Linked DNA regions of Sus scrofa. The protein of the gene in region 3 interacts with the protein of the main gene of each other region in a biochemical or structural test. Links are inferred from orthologs where the notes say so. Each region holds a gene or a part of one and is shown on either strand. Other genes may lie near its edges.

Region 1 (4,085 bases), on a different chromosome or scaffold from region 3:
TACTAGATATTGAAGCTCATTATATTATAAAATCACTTATAATATTTTATTTATCACAGATAGATAGGATAAAAAATCAATGAAAAAAGGAATCTCAAAGTAGATTCGACTATATATGAGGAACTTAATACAGGAAGCTTCCCAACCCAAAGGAGTTAAAAAGAATCATCTAATTAATTTGGTTGAGATATTTAGCAAGAGTTTGGAAGGGAAAAGTAAAAGAAGAAAGGGGAAGTTAAGGCCAGTATGACATGACCTACCAAAATAAACTCCAAGGTTAATGGATTAAATACCAAGCTACAACACTAAATTATAAAAAAGTCAAAATGGCAGAGGAAACAATAAACTGCTTAAGAGATTATGAACAAATGTATTTTAGCTTTGATAGAGAAATCAAAAGGACAAGTGTTTCACATTAAAATACACAGATGCAAAATCTCTGCACAAGTTTTTGAAAAAACAGCAAAATGTTGTGAAAATATTTACATCAAAATTTTGATAAGTAATATGTCAAATATAGAGTTTATTCAGAATTGTTTTAAAAATATGACAGACAAGTGAGGGAAGTTATAAATAAAAATCAGCAGAAGATAAAATTAGAAGTTATCAAAATATGTGGAAAGAAGTTAATTCTTATTTGTCAGCAAGCAACAAATTAAATTTGAGGCACTGTTTTGCAACTACCAAACTAGCCCAAACACATTTTAAAGATAAAATGCTGTCAGAATGCGGAGAACTTGTACACGGAGTTTCTGACTGCACGCACTTATGATTCATTTTGAAAGCAACATGGCAACAGGTAGCAAGAGTGTTAAAGGTGTTTATCCTCTGGCTCAGACATTTCATCTATGGAATTTATGTTGAATAATATGCACATAATTCCTCAGACACAAAGAGATCTGCACAAAAATTGTGGCATGTTCTGCTATAGCCAAAAAAAAAAAAAAAAGAGTTGGAAATGATCGTATGATCACAGAATGATAACAAAGAAATTAATATAGATGAGTGAGAATTACTGAGAACTAAGGAAAATGCTTATGTAATAAGTGAACACAAAAATATGCCAAGACATATATGCTTGCAGTTTTCAACTATGTGTGTGTAAGAAAACATAGGTGATAAAATACAAAATCTGAAAACAATTGATGGGTTAAAGTATGCTAAAAATGTTTCCTAGTTTTAAAATGCTTAAACCCAATTGTTTCTGATAATTGGCTGGGAGATATGATAACCAGATAAAAATGTATGCTTTTATAATAAGGGAAGAATTTTTTCCATGAATAAGGCATTTCGTGAAAAACACGCTTACAGAAGCAGCATTGTGCGTGTGCCAGAAAAGCTAATCTGCGGGTCGCGCACTTCTCTTTAGAAGCACATAGACGGATACATAATTGCACACGGTGACTTCACCTCGCAGTCACCTTGCAGGTTAAAGGAAACAGAAGGTGTGACGATTCCCGTTCAAGTACAAGCGTGCTTGGCACATTCTAGGGGCTCAAAAACCTTCCTTCAATACAGAAGGGAAACAGTATCAAGGATTAAATTGCATGCTAAGTAAATGCAATGCAAATGCTCTTTTGCATCTTTGAAAGGAAGGAGCTAGAGCTGAATGTCTGGGGAGGCCCCACCAAATCTGAGGTTTCGGGAATCCACACAATTCTGTGGAACAGACCAGGAAGAGAGTCAGAAATCTCTAAAGAACTATTACAATAAGATTACAAACGTGTGGATCTCCTGGGAAAGCTCCGGTTAACGAAAAGCTCGAAAAGCTCTGTGTGTGTGTGTGTGTATGTGTGTGTGTGTGGAAGGAGCTCTATTCTTTTAAAAGCAAGAAACAAAATAAAGCACAGCCATGCACCTGCTCCCACCACCGACCTCCATGTGACTGCACAGCAGCTACGCTCCCCAGGAGATGCTCTTTTGCTGCCTTTCTTTGACCAGGTTCACAAAATTTCCTACATTCGCGCGTGGTGCTTTTTCTCCTGAACTGATGGAGGATGCTCCTGACATAGAAGGGAACTCTCTGCAGGGAGATGTGAGCCTCTTTCCCCACTTCTACGCTTCAACTGCCGCACAGATAAATAAATACCTGCCCCCACAAAATCCGCTCCCTGGAGCTCAGACATGCATTGTCAGCCTGGTGCTTTGCCCCCGCGCCGCTCCTGGCTGCGACGGTGAGCGTGGAAGTCTCCAGGTTCTGCGGGGCTCCCCTCTCCCAGTCCGATGCTCGCCTCCACACCTGTGAACGGGATCCCTGCCTCCTACAGGCTTCCGTGACCCCGACGTACCTGTTTCCTCCGCATCCTGCGCGGCGCGCTTACTCCTGTTGCTTTGAATGGAGCTGCTCTCCCTTGGAGCTGGTGGTGCAAAGATCCCCTGGGAAGAGAAAAGCCCCACGTTACCGCCAGCACGTGTGGGTCGTGGGGGAGCCCCGTGCCTGGGGCTGCGGCTGCCGCAGACTCACTTTCAGGGCCGGAGGGGCGGCCCTGGGGGCTGCGGCTCCCGCCTGGGGGGCGCCCGGCAGCCCCTCCGCCCGGTGCTCCCGCAGCTCCGCCCGGAGGCTCCCCAGCTCCGCTTGCAGGGAGGCCACCCGGCAGAAAGACAGCACCGTGAGGCAGCAGGACAGCAGGGCCAGCAGCAGGGTCACGACCAGCAGCTTCCCATCTTTGGAGATGCGGACAGAGGGGCTTTCCTTCTGGGGGAGGATGGGGACCGTCTCCTTCAGTTTCATTTCTTCTCTCGTGCTAAGGCAAGAAAGGCGTGACTGCTCCCCCGTGGAGTCATCCATTTCCCTCCTAGAACTTTGAAGGTTCGGGCCCTTAGAATCAGTGACCACAGAGGATGGATCATTTCCTGTTATCTGTGTTTGTTGATGTCCTGCACTGACTGCCCGGCCCAGCCCGGCGCTCGCCCTCAGGAGAGTTCTCCTGAATTTTCTCCCCTCTGCCCCGCTGCATCTCTGCCCCTACTGTACGCTAGGTCTTCCTGGCATTCGCCCTTCTATCCGATTGCTCAATCAGTCTTCCTCATTTCACTTTCAGTTTTTGTAAGAATTGCAATGGCATCACTGGGTCCTCAGGCACAAACGGGTGCCTGGCGTCTACTGATTGGAAGGAACTGGGGGTTCGGACCAGTACCCTCCAGCAGAGCTTTTCAGAGCCGGAGGTGTTTAAGGAGCTCCCTCTCAGGCACCAGGAGAGACCTGGCTTCTTCGCTTGGGGCCACTTGGCTTTACAGGGAAAGGGGGGGCAGCTTTCATAAGTTCCTGCTGGGTAATAAAAATAATTAATGCGAAGGTCAGATAAGCTAAGTGCTTCAGCGTTCAACTGTACTCAGCCAGAGAGTGATTTATTAACAGTCCTTAAGTAGGAAATAAAACGAAGCCTCCTCCAAGGAGGCATGAAAGTCCGTTGGGGAATGTTTTCCATGTTATCATCTTAGCAACTGAAGAAAAAGGATGTGCCTGAATTTGGGAGCCCTGCTGAGAGTAGACACGGGGGATTCTTTAAAGGCATTTTGAAGAAAAGCCTGCCTAATCTTCCTCCTTCTGGACCCGCTGCCCCAGAGGACGGCCAGTTCTGAGGAGCGGTCCGACCTCTGCTGTCCCCACTCCTGGGGCTGCATGTCCTGGCTCCGTCTGACCACATTTGGGGGAGATTCTGCCTTATCTCAGCTCCAGAAGCCTGGGTCTTGCCACTAACTGCTCCTCCCCTAAAGCAGCGTATCTGCTTGGCCACATGAGGTTGACTCTGTCCCCATCTCATGGGTCTGTAGGACACCCCAACTCGACCCAGAGGGACTTTAGTTTCAAATCTCTGTTGCTGGATGTGGCGTGCCTATTAGGACACCAATCCCACCTGAGATTCAGTGTTCTCATCTGTTAGATGGGGTGACAACCGGCCCTGAGAAGTTGTAAGGAGCCTTAGAGGAATGTGGAACAAGCTGCCTTTAAGACCCTCCATTTTTCACTCATTTCCATCCATTCATTCATTCATTATGTGAGATATATTTCATTCATACATTTTATGAATGAATGTGTGTTTCATTTATCCAGAACACGAACTCTTTTTCATTATTACAAACAG
Region 2 (4,146 bases), about 8.4 Mb from region 3:
ACCTTCAGGTGTAGACGGGACGGTGAGTGGCTGGGAGGAGGCCAAAATCAACAGCTCCAACCCACTGCGCTATGACCGCCAGAGCGGGCAATTTTTGGTCACCCGGGCAGGGCTGTACTACCTGTACTGTCAGGTAAGCCCCACCTGGCTCCGCGGGTGAAGCAGGAACAGGGAGAAGGGTTGCTGGGGGGGGTGGGGGGGGCAAGTTAAAAGTGGGGAAGGGGGAGGTTTGTGCTGGGAAGGATGCCGGGCCTCTTGGGAAACCTGAGACAGGGTCAAGGGCAAGCAGAGGCCTGGACTCCGCCCCCGCCCCCCCAGGTGCACTTTGATGAGGGGAAGGCCGTCTACCTGAAGCTGGACTTGCTGGTGGACGACACGCTGGCCCTGCGCTGCCTGGAGGAGTTCTCGGCCACGGCGGCGAGTTCCCTCGGGCCCCAGCTCCGTCTCTGCCAGGTGTCTGGGCTATTGCCCCTGCGGCCGGGGTCCTCCCTGCGGATCCGCACCCTCCCCTGGGCCCACCTCAAGGCTGCCCCCTTCCTCACCTACTTTGGACTCTTCCAAGTTCACTGAGGGGCCCCGGGCTCCCCAGCAGCCGCCCCACCCCGGGCTGCTCCTCCCCAGACCTGCCTCTCCCTCCGTGTAGGCTTCCCCGGGCTGGGCTCGCTCACGTGATGTCACCCAGAGAGTCCCATCGGTCCTGACAACTCCCCCCACCTCTGGCTCTCCCCCCTCACTGGCTCCCAAACCCCCATGTAGCTCCTGGCCGCAGCCCCCAGGACACTGCACTCTGGGTGACATGGGTCCCGAACAGCCGTCTTCAGGCACTAGGAAGGGCCGGAGGCCAGAGAGCCCGGGCCGGGAAGAGGCTGGGAGTTTCCGAATGTCAGAGGGAAGAGCCCGAGACGAGCCCCTCCCCTGATCATTCCCTGTGGATTTTTAAAACAGATATTATTTTTATTATTATTGTGACAAAATGTTGAGAAGTGGAGATTAAAGAGATTAAGCCACGGCCGCTCTTTTTATTGGGGCTGAGGGCGCACCCTCGGGTTAGCCGAGGGCCATGGGAAGGGGGTCCGGGCGGGGGCGGGAGGGGAGCTGGGCACAGGGCACCTCGAATTCTGGGGCGACCCCCAGGCTTGGGAGTGGGGACCTCCGTGCCTCCAAGCCCGAGGCGGGAGCAGAGGAGGCAGAGAGGCGAAAGGCAAAGTGCCAGGAAAAAAATCAGTCCTCTGCCCAAGGTCCAGCAGAGGCAGCCTCATTTACCTAGGAGGCGGGCTTCCTCCCGCGGGGAATCCCTGCGCGCAGGGCCCTTCCTCTTGGCAGCTTCGGACGTGCAGCAGGTGCTGGCACAAGCCCTGGCTGGGACGTGGGGCTCGCTCGAGCAGGCCCGCGCGGGGGCTCGGGGTCGGTCAGCGGGCCGCCGGGGGCCCAGGAATCCGGGAAGCTGCACCCCTGCGTCCAGGGGAGGAATTGTCCAGCAGCAGGGTGCTTGGGGCCAGCTCGTTCTCTCTTTGTCCAGAGCCTTATGTAAGAGCATTTCTCGGGAAACAGGAAGTCCTGCTTGCCAAGTTCAGCACAGGGAGTAGCGCAGGCCTTATTCCAACACACCCGGCCTGGCCTTAACCCCAGAACGCAGCCGGTTGCTTCTTGCTTCCGCGACCCTGGTTTTCCTCCTCACTGACCCCCTCCCCTCCTTTCCCACCTGCCGTCCCTCTTAGCAACCGCCCCGGAGATCTCGCCTGGGCCCTGGCCAGAGGGTCTTCCACGCTCACCCCCTGACCTCCACGCTGCCCAGCTTGCCCCTCCGTTCTGGCTCCTGGCACCATGCCCCACCGCCAACCAACCTTCCCTCCCCCACTTCTGGGGCCGCCCCGGGGTTCCTACGCTCTGGCCGCTCCTCCTGGGTGTCACTGGCAGCCCCGTGCTTCCTAGAGAAACTGACACTAAATTCTCCTGAGGCTGGCGGAGGGTCTCGGGACAACACTGGCCCCGCAGCAGGGTGCCAGGAGCACCAACAGTGCCCTGAGCTTGCTTTCTGCCTCCGTCCTTTTCATTCTCAAGTTCCTTTTTATTTCTCCCTTGCGTAACGCCCTTCTTCCCTTCTGCACCCCCACCCTCCCGGTCACCTCCTTGCCACCCCACTCCTGAGCCCACAGCTGTTGGCAGGGTCCCCAGCTCATGCCAGCCTCATCTCCTTCCTTGCCAGCCCCTAAAGGGCCCCTGGGAGACATGGCCCCCATCCGAGAGCCGGCTCGCTCCGTTGCCCTCTGGTTGAGTTGGGGGGCGGCTCTGGGGGCTGTGGCTTGTGCCATGGTTCTGCTGACCCAACAAACAGAGCTGCAAACCCTAAGGAGAGAGGTGACCCGGCTGCAGAGGACCGGAGGGCCCTCCGAGAAGGGGGAAGGGGATCCATGGCAGAACCTCTGGGAGCAGGTGAGTGAGGGGAGAAGGGAGAAGGGCCGCTGGGAGAGAAGGATGGCTGGCAGGGTGGTCTCCGGGCCTCTTGCAACGTTTGCAATGGGTGTGAGAGAGGGTCCCGGGTTTGGAGGTCAAGGGGACAACCGTTCCAGGAAAGGAAATTGTTAAAGATTAATGCTTCTCGTACCTAACAGATCCTGGAGGACAGCCAGCACCAAGACTCAGGTTGCTGGGGAAAGGTGCAGGAGAGATGGGAGGCCTTCCTGGGCCAGGGGGAGGGCCGGGGGAAAGGCTTTCCGGGACCCCGGCATCTTGGCCTAACCCCGACCCTCTCTGCAGGAACAGAGCCCTGGCGGCGCGGAAGCCTGGGAGAACGGGGAGAGATCCCGGAGAAGGAGAGCCGTGCTCACCCGTAAACAGAAGAGTGAGCCTCTGGGGTGCAGCAGGGGTGGGAGGTGATCAAGCGGCAAGGCGACCCCGAGCCAGCGTGAGGGTGGAGGACTGACAGCCGGGCATCGGGGGGCGGAGGTGGGCACTGCTCAGATCTCCTCCTTCTCTCCTCAGAGAAGCGCTCAGTTCTGCATCTCGTTCCCACTAACATCACCTCCAAGGGTGAGCAGTTTTCAGTAATGGTTTGGGGGGACGGGCGAGATCTAGGAACTGTGGGGCTGGTACCTGGGCCCACGACGAGAAGATGGCTGCGTGCGCCCCCAAATTCTGACTGCCACACTCCTCGCCTCCAGAGGACTCGGATGTGACAGAACTCATGTGGCAACCAGCTCTCAAGCGTGGGAGAGGTCTGGAGGCCCAAGGATACTTTGTTCGAGTCTGGGATGCTGGAGTTTATCTGCTGTACAGCCAGGTAACCCCAAACATACCCTGAGCCCCCCCAAGGGCCTGGAGTGGTGTTCCCCGGGAGTCTTGTCGTGCCCCAGGACTGGGGGGTCCCAACCGCCATTCACACCAAACTTAGGGGGCCCTTCTTCATTCCTCAGCTGCCTTGTCGGGGCTCCTGAGGCCGCCCGGAACTGAGCCACGCCATCCGGTTTTCTTCAACGTCTCCTCCCTTCCCTGCCAGGTCCTGTTTCACGATGTGACTTTCACCATGGGTCAGGTGGTATCTCGGGAGGGCCAGGGAAGGCAGGAGACTCTATTCCGATGTATTCGAAGTATGCCCTCCAACCCCGACTGGGCCTACAATAGCTGCTACAGTGCAGGTGAGAGCATCTGGGCAGTGGAGGGTGGCTCTCCCACCTGCGGGTAGAGGTGGGGATGCTATGGCACGGGCCTGGAGCCTGGCTGGAGAGGAGGATCTGAGCAGTGAAGCAGAAAAGAGGGCCGAGTCGAAGGTGGGAGCGTGAAATCGAGGGCTCTGCATGTGCTTCACTGAGCATCATGTTTCTCCCTTTCTCAGGTGTGTTCCATTTACACCAAGGGGACATTCTGAGTGTTGTGATCCCCCGGGCCAGGGCGAAACTCAGCCTCTCTCCACATGGAACCTTCCTGGGAGTTGTGAAACTGTGATTGTGTTGTAAAGGTGGTTCTGAGCTTGGAAGACCAGGGTGGGTACATTTCGGAGACAGCCAAGAGCCGAGGAGACAAAGGACAGGGAACAGGCAGGAGCAGAGGCCTGTTCAGAGTTTGACTGGAACCCCAGGTTTGACAGCTCCTGACTCTCCCTTCCTCCTCCTGCTCCCCTCCCCCCCCGGGGGGGTCTTTAAATTCATG
Region 3 (4,151 bases):
CCCAGTGGCACTGCTGTCATCGCACTGCCCTTCCCGCGACTTCTGTACCACTTCATGTGCCCACAACCAGGGGGCCGGGAGGCCTGTGTGTCTTTGCCTCCCTGCAAGGTATCTCACTGCCAGCACCATGCCAACGCCACCTGCTGTCGCCCAGCCATCTGAGGTCACCGTCTCTTTGCACCGCGCAGAGGCCTGCCTTGTCCCTTCTGCCCAGTGCAGAGAACTCCTACCACGGCCGTGGCCCAGCCCCACGTGGGCTCGCCATCGCCTGCGTGCCACTGGGCATCCGCATGCACCTGCGGCCGAGGAGGAGAGTCCCCAGGGAGCGGGGAAGCGCAGGTTCCATGTCTCACGCGACCCTGGCAGAAGGCCCTCCCCGCCGCTCCCGGCTCCGCAGGTCGCCTCCAGCACCTGGTGGCTCCAGACTGTGCCGACCTGGTGGACGAAATCTGGCTTTTCGTCGTGGTCTGACTGCATTTCCTGATGACCGAGGAGATGGAGCATCTTTTAGGATTTCCAGCCACTGGTGTCTGCTCTCCTGCCCTGTCACCACCCCGAGCCCTTTGTCTTCCCTGCCCCCACTCGGGCTCTGGCCCAACTCCTCCTGGAACCCCTATCTCTCCCTCCGTCCACCTGACTGCTCCCCAAACAGCACAGCCTTCTGTGACTTCGAAACCCGTTGCCCCCCAGTGCTGTCCCCACAGACGCTGGGAGCACAGGAATGCAGCTCTGAAGGGTGACAGGGACACGTGTTAGTCCTGGACGCCGCGTCCTGAGAACTCACTCGGTGCCAAGAACTTGCTCTGGGCCTGTGACTGTGCACTCTGTGCGCCGCCTGCATGCGCATCACAGCCTCCGAGGCGGGTCCTGCCTGCACACCCACTTTACAGGAGAGAAGACGGAGGCACAAAAAGTTAAGTAAATTCCCACCAAGGCTTCCTGCTGGTAAGAGGCTGAGCCGAGATTCAAGCCCAGTCTGTCTGGCTCTGGTGCCAGCCTCTCGGGTGCTTTGACAGGGTAAGGTCAGCACCCAAGAAGCAGAGAACGGCCACCAACCCGGGCTGGGGCAGTCAGGACGGCTTCCTGGAGGAGGTGACACCTCAGCGGAGCCTGAAGGAGGAAGAAGAGGAGATGACGGGGCAATGACCTGGCAGAGGGAAGGGCCCTGAGCCACACTTGCAGGCCCGAGAGCTGGTCCGCCCTGGCTGAGCCTGGGGTATGTGGGGGGGACCAGGCCCAGGGGGCAGCGAGGCTGGGGGCTCAGCACCCAGCTGGACTCCTGGATGTCAGGCCAAGTGAGCCCCCAGCTCCCGAGACGGAGCGCGCAGGCGCGGGGGGACGGGGGGGCTGATTTACATCCTCCAGGTTGGGGGGAAACCCCGGAAGTGCCGCCCGGGCGCTAATCAAATCTCAGGCTAAGAATAAGCGTCCTGAGGAAGGAGTGGCCTGGGCCGGAGCAGCGGAGGTGACGAGCGGGCCAGGAGGAGCTGCGTGAGTAGCGGGGAGGCGGGGGCGCGAGCCGGGGCTGGGTCGGGGCGCCACGGGCACCGGGGGGCTCAGGGGTGGCGGTGCTCACGTGTGGCTCAGGGGTGGCGGGCCGCCCCGGGGCCTCCTGGGCCTGCCCGCCGAGGGCCTGCAGGCTGCGGCCGCGGGGCCCGGCCTGCTTTCGGGGGCAGAGCCGCAGGGCCGGAGGTCGGCCACACCTGCAGGAACCCCCGGGCCTCCCAGCCCTCGCGGGCCCCGGGCCCAGAGGCACATCCCCAGGACGCCGTGGTGACATCCTGAGGCCGAGAGTCACGCAAGGCAGAGCATCTAACTAGCTCTCTGGCAGCCGGCAGCCGGCAGCCGGCCTCCACCTTCACACCCCCCGGGCGGCCGGACGGCTGCGAAGACAGCCACGCCTTGCATTTTTGATTTGTCAATCCCGCAGTATTTACCTCTTAAAGACAAAAACACCTTAAAAAAAACAAACCCCCAACTTTTGGGGGGAGCCATGACAATGTGTGCAAAGCACGAGTCCTCAGCGCCACCGCAGGGCCCGCGTCCAGACTTGCGACTGCCTGGCCAAGGCCCGTTCCCGCCGATTTGATGACATCAGGGCCCAGACGCGTCCCTTTGGTTGTACGTCCGAATCTAGAACGTTCCCACCCTGTCTCATTTTGTTCCCTGGCTGGTTTTTGAATGAAGAGGCCGGATCGTTTACCCTGGAGAATTTCGAGCAGGTCTTCTTTTGAAGGTTCAAACCTGGCAGCGTGGCTGGGCTGGCATCTGGCCATGTGGGCACTGCGTGCACGGCAGGTCCAGTGGCTCAGTGGCCTCCAGACCCTGAGTGGGTCTGGGGGCTCCCTCGGGCGGCCCTTGGCCCAGCCAACCCACCGTCGCCCCGGCTTCCCTGTGGCCGGGGCGGCGGCCGCTCTCTCCCTCTCGTCTCCCCAAATGACGAGAGGTCCAGGTTGGGCTCTTTCCAGTTGTCCCCAAATGACGAGAGGTCCAGGTTGGGCTCTTTCCAATTGTGTTTGGTCCCCTTTGCTTTGCTTTGCTTTCTTTTACCAGAAGGATAGTTGATTTACAATGTTGGGTTGGTTTCTGTGCCCAGCTTCATACGCACACACACCTTCTTCGTCAGATTCTGCTCCAGTCTGGTTCGTCACAGGATGTGGCATATAGTTCGCCGTGCGACACAACAGGGCCTTGCTGTTCACCTATCTTCTACATACTTGTGTGGATCTGCTCATCCCAAACTCTTAAGTCAGGTCTTCTTGCTATCTATCTGTGCCTTATTTATTGATTTATTTTGCTTTTTAGGGCTGCACAAGTGGCACATGGAAGTTCCCAGGCTAGGGGCTGAACCAGAGCTGCACCTGCCACAGCCACAGCAATGCAGGATCCAAGCTGCATCTGTGACCTCCAATGCAGCTCACGGCAACGCTGGATCCTTAACCCACGGAGCGAGGCCAGGGATTGAACCTGCATCCTCTTGAATATGAGTCAGGTTCGTTACCACTGAGTCAGGACAGGAGCCCCCTCTGGCTGTTTAAATTTGCTTTGTGAACAGTCGTCCCAGGCTGGAAGCCCAGAGAGTAGATTGCGGTAAATATAGCCGCTTTCCTCCCAGCCCTCCGCCCGCCCCGTTCCTGCCTCCCCCAGAATCAACAGCTTTGTTGAGATAATTTACATGGCCGCTCACCCGTTTACAGTAAACAATTCAGCAGTTTTAGGATATTTACAGAGCTGGGCAGCCACCACATAATCTAATTTTAGAACATTTTCATCACCCCAAAAAGAACGCTCGTCTCTCCTCGTTCCTCCCCACGCCCAGCCCTACGCTGCCACGAACTTACTTTCTGTCTCTAAAGAGTCACCTGTTTGGGACAGCTTATAAACACGGAATATGCTGTCTTACGACGGCCTTCCACCATTAGCACAACGCCTTCGAGGGTCATCCATGCAGCCTGGATGTGTTGGGACGTCATTCCTTTTTCGTGGCCCAATAACGTTCCCCATACGGAGAGGGCACATCGTCTCCTGCAGCCGGGGACCGACACTTGGGTGGCTTCTGCTTTTCGGCTGTTGTGAATGACGCCCTGGGAACATCCATGTGCACGTATTTCTTTTTAAAGATTTCTGCTCATTTTCTGTATTTTTTTGTTTTGATTGCCACATTTTATCTTTATTTTTTAAATTACCCCATACATTTTATTACATTTATAGCTGTACATCTATAAGTAATATCATATGATATTCGTCTTTCTTGGTCTCACTTACTTCACTTAGCATGATAATTTCTAGGTTCATCCATGTTGCTACAGATGGCATTATTTCACTCCTTTTAATGGCTGAGTAATACTCCACTGTGTGTATGTACCACCTCTTCTCGATCCACTCCTCTGTCGATGGGCATTTAGGTTGTGTCCGTGTCTTGGTTATTGCAAAGAGTGCTGCAGGGAACGTTGGAGTACATGTGTCTTTGCGAGTCGTGGTTTTCTCTGGGTAGATGCCCAGGAGTGGGACTGCTGGATCCAGTGGGAATTCTGTGTTTTTTTCTGAGGCATCTCCATCCTGTTTTCCAAGTGGTTGCACCAGTTTACATCCCCACCAACAGCGTAAGAGGGTTCCTTTTTCCCCACACCCTCTCTCCGGCACGTATTGTC

What was found. The genes of interacting proteins can lie anywhere in the genome.
Region 1: the proteins of TNFRSF13B (region 3) and TNFSF13B form a complex in vitro, tested with the Homo sapiens proteins (3 studies listed by BioGRID and IntAct, with this or other methods). The link is inferred for Sus scrofa from reciprocal best matches to the Homo sapiens genes TNFRSF13B and TNFSF13B.
Region 2: the proteins of TNFRSF13B (region 3) and TNFSF13 form a complex in vitro, tested with the Homo sapiens proteins (2 studies listed by BioGRID and IntAct). The link is inferred for Sus scrofa from reciprocal best matches to the Homo sapiens genes TNFRSF13B and TNFSF13.

What each region holds. Positions count from the first base shown.
Region 1 is NC_010453.5:75,598,461-75,602,545, reverse strand, and holds the start of TNFSF13B (tumor necrosis factor ligand superfamily member 13B), read right to left. Parts: upstream 2,801-4,085; 5' UTR 2,789-2,800; coding exon 2,609-2,788; coding exon of another isoform or gene 2,465-2,608; intron 2,377-2,464; coding exon 2,289-2,376; intron 1-2,288. UniProt on the Homo sapiens protein: Cytokine that binds to TNFRSF13B/TACI and TNFRSF17/BCMA. TNFSF13/APRIL binds to the same 2 receptors. Together, they form a 2 ligands -2 receptors pathway involved in the stimulation of B- and T-cell function and the regulation of humoral immunity.
Region 2 is NC_010454.4:52,852,320-52,856,465, forward strand, and holds the start of TNFSF13 (tumor necrosis factor ligand superfamily member 13), read left to right. Parts: upstream 1-1,346; 5' UTR 1,347-1,527; exon of another isoform or gene 1,528-2,178; coding exon of another isoform or gene 2,179-2,229; coding exon 2,230-2,433; intron 2,434-2,612; coding exon 2,613-2,657; intron 2,658-2,757; coding exon 2,758-2,842; intron 2,843-2,982; coding exon 2,983-3,030; intron 3,031-3,161; coding exon 3,162-3,280; intron 3,281-3,496; coding exon 3,497-3,635; intron 3,636-3,832; coding exon 3,833-3,942; 3' UTR 3,943-4,146. Other genes in the region: TNFSF12 (tumor necrosis factor ligand superfamily member 12), read left to right, coding at 9-133, 319-570. UniProt on the Homo sapiens protein: Cytokine that binds to TNFRSF13B/TACI and to TNFRSF17/BCMA. Plays a role in the regulation of tumor cell growth. May be involved in monocyte/macrophage-mediated immunological processes.
Region 3 is NC_010454.4:61,244,625-61,248,775, forward strand, and holds the start of TNFRSF13B (tumor necrosis factor receptor superfamily member 13B), read left to right. Parts: upstream 1-1,351; 5' UTR 1,352-1,491; intron 1,492-4,151. UniProt on the Homo sapiens protein: Receptor for TNFSF13/APRIL and TNFSF13B/TALL1/BAFF/BLYS that binds both ligands with similar high affinity. Mediates calcineurin-dependent activation of NF-AT, as well as activation of NF-kappa-B and AP-1.